Linked DNA regions of Macaca mulatta. The protein of the gene in region 1 interacts with the protein of each later gene in a pairwise test. Links are inferred from orthologs where the notes say so. Each region holds a gene or a part of one and is shown in the gene's direction. Other genes may lie near its edges.

What was found. The genes of interacting proteins can lie anywhere in the genome.
Region 2: the proteins of VBP1 (region 1) and PFDN4 interact in binary tests that used the Homo sapiens proteins (3 or more experiments, as listed by UniProt). The link is inferred for Macaca mulatta from reciprocal best matches to the Homo sapiens genes VBP1 and PFDN4.

The regions. Positions count from the first base shown.
Region 1 is NC_133426.1:161,508,936-161,512,894, forward strand, and holds the start of VBP1 (prefoldin subunit 3), read left to right. Parts: upstream 1-1,156; 5' UTR 1,157-1,171; coding exon 1,172-1,366; intron 1,367-3,959. UniProt on the Homo sapiens protein: Binds specifically to cytosolic chaperonin (c-CPN) and transfers target proteins to it. Binds to nascent polypeptide chain and promotes folding in an environment in which there are many competing pathways for nonnative proteins.
Region 2 is NC_133415.1:107,034,947-107,039,150, forward strand, and holds the start of PFDN4 (prefoldin subunit 4), read left to right. Parts: upstream 1-1,399; 5' UTR 1,400-1,509; coding exon 1,510-1,533; intron 1,534-4,204. UniProt on the Homo sapiens protein: Binds specifically to cytosolic chaperonin (c-CPN) and transfers target proteins to it. Binds to nascent polypeptide chain and promotes folding in an environment in which there are many competing pathways for nonnative proteins.

The DNA.
Region 1 (3,959 bases):
ACATTACCTACTTTTCCAAAACAAAAAAATTTTTTGGAAGGCATTGAGGTGGGGGAAAGTGGTGAAGAATAGAGTTCCCATATACTTTTCTCTCCAGGAACAGAGACATTATCTCACAAAGCTGCTGACCAGAAAAAGTCAGAGTCATGGTTAGCTAACATGTCTTCATCCTCCCAAGCCAAATCGCATAGAAGCCACTGGAGAACTAGTTTGGAATTCCGGCTTCACTACTATGTAGTTGTAGGATTTTGGAGAAGCTGTACAGGTTCACTGAGCTTTAGTTTCCTCATTCACAATATGACGATACCAATTTCTTCCTCATATTATATATAAGGACATATCTATGTCTATATGCTTGATCGTACATTATCTGTGTAGATAAACCGGTAACAGTGATTGCCTCTGAGAAGAGAGACTTACTTTCCGTTGCATAATTCTTAGGCTCATGGTAGAATTTGTGCAAGTGGATGAAGCACTGCCTCACTGGAAAACACTCCAGTGAAAGAAGAGAAAGGACAGAAAACAGCCCGAGGAATAATTACTTGGTTCTGTATGACACATGTGCTTTTAAAGGGTTGTAGTGTAGGATGACATTGGGTAAGTCCATGGTCCTAGAAGCCTAGGTGGAGTTCTTAGGATTTTGTATGTAGACTATGAAGTTTTGGAAACGTTTGAGCTGGAGAGAAGACATTCTGTTCAAAGGTGGCTTTCAGGAAAGGCTGGTGCGACAGGCAGGGTATTTATTAGAATGAGGCCAGTGACCACTCTGAAACAGACACAAAGTAAGTTCCCTTCAAGGGGCAGAAAGCTCCCTGGGATGGTGAGACCAGAAAGGCACAGAGGCTGAACCCTCGTGATGGAGCTAGGTCCCAGGTTCGCTAGCATCCGAGAGGGGGATTGGGTCGCTCCAGAGGCCATTGTGAAGGCTGCTGCCAGTTCTAGGGTCGGGGTGGGGTCAGGCTAGGTCCCTATTCCTAGGGCTTTAGCACCGCTCACTCACAAATCCCCTTTTCCCAGGAGGGCCTAAGGGTTTTTCCTGTCGCTCTAGCTTCTCTTCCGCGGCCCTTCCACGCTTGTCACTTACCTGAGGGCAGCCAATGAGCACCTACAGGTTGGGCTACTTTCGGCCATAGGAGAACGGGGGCTTATGGGGGACCCTCCCTGCGCACCAATGAATGTGCATGGAGAGGCGGGCCTGCAAGTGCTAACAAGCCAATCACGGAATCCCGGCGGCCGGCGGCCCGGGAGGCAGTCGCGCGCTCGCATCCCCAAGATGGCGGCCGCTAAGGACAGTTGTGGCAAAGGAGAAATGGCCACAGGGAATGGGCGGCGGCTCCACCTGGGGATTCCTGAGGCCGTCTTTGTGGTAAGAGGCACGCTGTTACCTGGCATCTTGGCTTGAGGCCGCGGACTGCCCCTTTCTTCCCGGCTCCCACCCAGGCCTCGATTGTTGGAAGGAGCTGAGCTAAATGTTCAGGGAGGGGGCGCTCGGTCTGCTCTCACTCTTCGCACCTGGATAGATTGAGCTCTGCTGGGGCCCGCCCGGAAGAAACGTAGCTCGAGAAGGCCCTAGAAGAGAACGGGGTTTGGGGCCGGAGCGAGGGGCGAGGGGCGGAGGGCGGCGGGTCAGGGCGGCCTGAGGGACCTCCGGGCTGCCGCCGGTTTTCGTCCCCCTGCTGGTTGGAAAAGGGGAGGTGGTGAGGAGCTCGACTCAGCATGGATGCTGGAGAGACAGTACAATGAATAGGCAGAACAGCCAATGCTAAGATGTGAAAACGGAATATCACCTTGTCTGTTGAAGGAATGCAGTGGTCTGTTGCCTCGGGGAAAATGGAAGAAGAGACCGATGGGAAAGTAGGATGATAGGGTGAGAGTGTAAAGTCCTTCTGTGTTTTGCTAAAGAATTGAGGTTTTTCCGGTAGGCAACGGGCTGTCATCAGAAGGCCTTTCGTTTTAGGTACATCATTCTGACAACTTAGTGGAGAATGAATTGTTGAGAGAGGAGACTGAACCCTCGTGATGGCGCTAGGTCCCAGGTTCGCTAGCGTCCGAGAGGGGATCGGGTCGCTCCAGAGGCCGTTCTGGAGGGCGCTGCCTGTTCTGGGTGGCTTTAAAAATTTTTCGTTTTGTTTATTTAATTTAGAAATAGTAGTTGAAAACTATCTGACTAATGAGAGAAAACGTCTGACTGGCCCTCCAGGCCAGGTCATCTGTCTGTCCCCACTTAGCTACTATAAAATCTTCATGGAAGTTTCTCAACCGTTTGTTTTGTACCTTACCTTACCTCTGCCTTTTTCACTAACCACGTCTTATATCCTAAAGACTCATTTATTTATACCACACTTGATATTGTATATTTGCATTTGCTGATTGAATTTCGTAATTGTTTGGTTATTGTTTTGTGTTTTTATGAGCTGTGTCATTTATTTCTCTACATTGACCTATTATCATAACAAAGAATAAAATTTGTTGAGTGCCGGGCACTTTCTTAATTTTACAAAACTCGAGGTGGTAGCTACTGTTATGCCCGTTTTTTAGATGATAAAACTGAGGTACGGGGCCCTTGGCCCTTGAGTAACTTGCCCAGGCCACACAGGATATAAGTGAGGAATCCAGGATTTGAACTTGGGCAATCTGTGGAGGTCCAGACCGGCGGCTTACCCTTCATGCTCTGCTACTGGGTAGTGTAAGTAGCAGAGAGTTCTCATGCATCGCCCCACTCCTCCTGGTCATAGCACAGTGCCTGACACATAGTATAAGTTCAAACTGGGTGTCTAATTGAATTTCCATAGTGCCTTAAATGTTACATTCATAGTGCTCAGCTAGAGATGGCCTCAGAAATCTAACTCGGGAGGAGACACTTTATCTGAGGGCTTTATAATGTCTTAAAATGCTTTTTCCCTACAATGTCATGGTTATTTTTTTCTAGACCTTAAAATTTCTACCTGCATAATGTAATAAGCAACTCAAATTTTATATAACTGTTTTTGTTTCTAAACTATTAATAATTGAAGTGACATGGTATTGTAGAAATATTATCGGCCCTGAGTTTCTTTAACTGAAATAGGGATGACAATACTTAGAGAGTTGTTATGGGAAACAGAGGACATGCTTGCAGTATTGCAGTGTAGTAGGTGTCAAATAGATATTAATGTTCATGGTGATAGGAGGCAATGTACCATAGTGGTTAGAAGTCAGACCTAGTCCATTCCCCAACCCCACTGAGGCAGTAATTTGTTTTCTTTCTCTGCTTGAATTGTTCTTTCACCCTTGTCCATTTCATGACCTCTTCATCTTTCCACATCTAGTTCAGCTATCATCCCCCTGTAGTTTTTGCTGACCTCTACCCCAAAACAAAATCCCTGGCACTTTGTGTTCCTGTGGCACATTATGCTATAGATAGGTGTCACGTACTCTTATAGGCATCTCACCTATGCTAATTTCTGGTGATGAAAAGGTACTTGTACAGATGATGAGGAGATTGAGGCAAAGAGAGGTTAATTAACTTCCCTAAGGTCAACTCATCTAGTGAGTGGTGAAGCCAGGATTCAAACCAGGCACCTCCTGTCTCTTAACCACAGCCTATGCTGCTATAGTTAATTCTTGCTGAACTCCAGCACCTAATAACATGTATCATGTGCTAGAAACTTACACTTCTTTCTCTTCCCTCCAGTGACCCTTCTAGGAAGATGGCATCTCTCTTTTACATACAGAACTCAGCCTCACCTTTTCAATTTCCTTTACTGTCTCTAGTTTGATGGCTTCGTAGTTCACTCCCTTGCTGTGTTTCTCTTCCTTTTTCTTCCTTATTTCAGCTAAGATATTCTCTGGTAGCTAATAAATATGGATAAGAATAATGATTTGAAGATCTTAAAAGCTATAAGATAATTGAAGTTACTTATAATAAAGAACTAGACTTCTGTAAAGTACTAGACAGCTCTTGTAGCATCTTTTTAAGT
Region 2 (4,204 bases), on another chromosome or scaffold:
TCTCAAGCTGTGGTCCATGAACGTCGGGAGTCCCTGAGACCTTTTCAGGCATCCATGAGGGCCTCCCTTTCCCAACTGCATGATTTGTGTGAGGCTGGGGTTTTTCATACCTACAACTAGACAACTAAACAGTATATTTGGAGAGACTGAATGCAGAAGTACACATGAGAATCTAACCTTCCATTAAGCCTGATATTAAAGACATCAGTGAAAATGTAAAACGATGACAGTCTTCTCAATTTGTTTTTGTCTTAGAAAATATAGGTATTTTTAAAGTGTGATTTTTATTACCATGGAATGGAGTTTTATATTATTTTAAATGAATTAATAACTACATTTTTAAAATTCTGCTTTAATTTCTAATACAGCAAATATCGATAAATAACCCACATAAAAATTCTCTGGAGTCCTCAATAATTTCTAGGAGTACAAAGAGATCCTAAGGCCAAAAAAAAAAAAAAAAAAAAAAAAATTACTAATTGGGAGATACAAGTGTCAGAATATACAGTAACTGTTCAGTAATATTGCTGTAAATTAATCAATAGGATTGCCTATTCACAACAGCAAAGGCATGGAATCAACCCAGGTGCCCATCAGTAGTGGATAGGATAAAGAAAACGTGGTCCATATACACCATGGAATACTATGCAGCCATAAGAAAGAACAAAATCATGTTCTTTGCAGCAACATGGATGCAGCTGGACATCATTATCCCAAGTGAATTAACAAAGAACAGAAAATCAACCACTCATGTTCCCACTTACGAGTGAGAGCTAAACACTGGGTAATCATGGACATAAAGATGGGAACAACAAATGCTAGGGATTCCAAACACGGGGAAGGAGGCAGGGGAAAGGTGTTGAAAAATTACCTAGGGAGTACTATGTTCACTACTTGGGCAACGGGATCATTAGAAACCCAAACCTTAGCGCTATGCAATATATCCGTGTAATAAACCTGCACACCTACCCCCTGAATCTAAATTTTTAAAAAAATTACATTAAAAGATAGGAGCGCCTCCTCCTTTACACCACCTGAATTATCATGGCACGTAAGTCTCACACCCTATTTGCCAAGGCCATTCGTTCCTAGCTCTTTTACAGGGAGGTCAGCTTTCTCAATGCAAGTCTGTGGGACGGATGCAGAAAAATTCCCCCAGCCTCCCCTTTGATCCTGCCCCAGCTGGTCCCCGCCACGCTGAGGGACGCGTACCCTGGGACGCGCACCCTGCTGCCCGCAGCCGGAGCCGTTCGCCACACCCCCGTGTTTATGTCGGCCCACGGGGGTTGCCTGTCCCTTTAATTGGCATGTACCAAGTCTTTCCAGGTCACATTTCCTCCCTACGTCCCAGCCGTTTGGAATCATTAGCCAAAAGTCCAAGAGGAGGGAATGTGGAGACAGTGTTGTATTTCTGCGGGGAGTTCTGGGCCGACCGGGAGCGAGAGAACGCTCGAGGACGAAGCGCGCCATTGCGGCCCTCCCCGCCGCGTGCCGTAGTCCAGTCCCAAGATGGCGGCCACCATGAAGAAGGCGGTGAGTGGGGCGCTCGGGGCTCTGGATGCGCGGGTGGCGCCGAATCTCGGCCGCGGGGGTTGGGGCGCGGGATGCTGGGGGTGCGCAGCTCCGAAGCCCGGCGTGGGACCCGAGGCCGAGGCCGAGGCCCTGAGAGCGGCCCCGCGGCAAGGCCTGCCCGCGCCTGGCGCCCTGAGCGTTTTCCTAGGCACCTGGCCAGCCGAGGCGGGGAGCCGGGGCTGGGGCCGGGAGCCTCCGAGGGCCCTGGGCCGCCTCCCGCGATGCCGAGGGTGCCCCCGGGGAGTCTGAGGAATCTGCAGCCCCAGCCTTGCCCCTAAGGTGTGGGAAGTCGAAGGTCTCGTTGAGTGTGGTTGGCCTTGACTCGGGCGTTGCACCGGCATGATCGCATTAGCCTCATTGGTTATGGGTAGCTGCTGCTGGGACCGTGGTTACGGGTGAGGAAACTGAGGCCCAGAGATGGGAAGTCACCTGCCTCAGGTTACGCAGCTCATAAGGGGGACAGCAGGTTCCTGCATCCCCGGATTATCAGGCCCAAGAGCCCCCGTGTCCAACCCGGAGCTGCCCATGTCCACGCTCTATGCCCCTGAGTCCTCCAGGCTAAAACCAGTATTTATTGAAGACGGACGATCTGCCGGCCCAGCAGCCGGCCCTTTATCCGTTATCCTCCCCGCAGCTCAGCAAGTGCAATGGGTTCCTCCCCACTTTGCAGGTAGAGAAACTTAGACACAGAGCAGTTAGGGGCCCCAAAGTGACTCAGCTAGTAAGAAGCTGAGCTGGAGTTCGAACTCAGGTTTGGTTTGGTTTTTCTCAAAGCACACCTATGTAACCACTAAGCAGGCTAAACTTCCATGTCGGGTTTATAAATCCGTGGCTTCCCAGATGTGTAAAGATAGCTAGACAGAAGAAAAAGAAAAGTGGAGAGGGGGAAGGAAATAACGACTGACAATTTGGGGAGCTTTACAGTGTGCTAGGTATAGCTGTACTTTTTTTTTTTTTGGGTGTATTGTTTATCTTATGTACTTTAGGGGAGATACTGTTTTTATCCTTATTTAACAAATGAGAAAACAGGCACGGAGGCAAAGCTAGCATTTAAACACAGGCATTCTGACTCCGGAGTCTGAGTTTTAAACTGCTATAGGGGGTCTTCCATGAGAATCTCTTGGCTGGCGGGATTTGCATTCATTCCACTTTTAAGACCACATTAGAACTTCCTTTGCTTTACCCCCATCCAGTACCACATAGTCTATGCCATCTGTGCCTGGTGTAGGGTGACCCATTGCCCCGTTTTATATGAAATTGAGGGACTGCCAAAACTGGGAACGCCCCAGCTAACTCAAGATGTGTTGCTCACCCTACTATTCTGCCATCCAAAAATTCTTACTGAGTCCCAGAGTAGGGTCCAGGGCCATGGTGATTCAAAACAGTATGAAACTTGGTGAGATTCACTTCACCTCTAGTTTGTGAAATTGGGCCCTCTGGTGTTAGGTATGGCCTTTAATTCCTTGAAAGATACTAGTTGTGGTTCACTCCGTTTTATAGGTATGGAAACTGAAGTGCAGAGAGGTGAAGTAAATGGTCAAAGAGGAAATGGCAGAAGAATGATTTGAACCCTGGATTTTGATTGCAAAATTTCTAATTATCAACTTTTGTTTTCCCCCTTTCATTGATTCAGTAAATTTTTGGGGGCATGTAATATGGCATAGTCTCAGTTTTAAGTGGAGACAACTGCGGTGACCAGTGAGGAAGTTCTTCTCCCCTTATTCTTATAGCCCCAAAGAACGTATGTTCCAGGACAGAGGCAGGCATTACTCACATAGTCACACAGAAAACTAGTTTCTCTGGTGAGAACTGTGAAGGAAAAGTACTTACGAAATGAGGGCCAAAATGAGGTCTGTTTTGAGATCAGAGAAGGCTTTCCTGGGAAAGTGCCATTTAAGTTGAGATCTGTGAGATTATGTAAGGAAAGAAAGGGAGAGTTGGATAGAGAATGAAGCATTCTAGAGAGGAGTATCTGCAGAGACTCTGAGTACATTTAATACAAGGAAGGCCTGATGGCAGATAATCAGGGGAAGAAAGTTTGAGCCATGATGGGAAAAGAACTTGTAGAAGGGTAGGTGGTGGCCAAAATATAAAAGATCTTCGTTAACTTTGAAGCCTTTGAGAGTCACATGATAGATGTAATGTCCTCCTGTAGATGTTTCCAGTGTTATGAACAATTCCCGATAGATTATCTTACATGTACGCTTTTCCCCTTTGCCCTCAATGGGAGAAAACAAACATGTATGCCAGTGAGTGAGAGTGAGACAGAGAGAGAGAGCCCTTTGAGTTTAATGAAAAGCAAATCATGTACAATCTGGAGTACTTTACATTTGTAACACATCGTTATCTCTCAACTGGTCATGATTTTGCTGGGGAGAATGTTTAGATGAGATGATTCAGTACTCTCATCTCTAAAGTTCTGCCTTCTAAGATCCAGTTCTTGACCATAAGGAGATCTGCACTTTGATTTCTGTTGATTATCCTACATACAAATGTTCTTTCCTCAGAGAGGCTACCTTTGACCTTTATCTAAAGAAGCCTCCTTCACTCCCCAGGCCCCCAAAACTTTCTTCTCCTAAGCTATTGTATTTTCATCATCACGTTTGTCACCATCGAACATTATCTCGTTCAT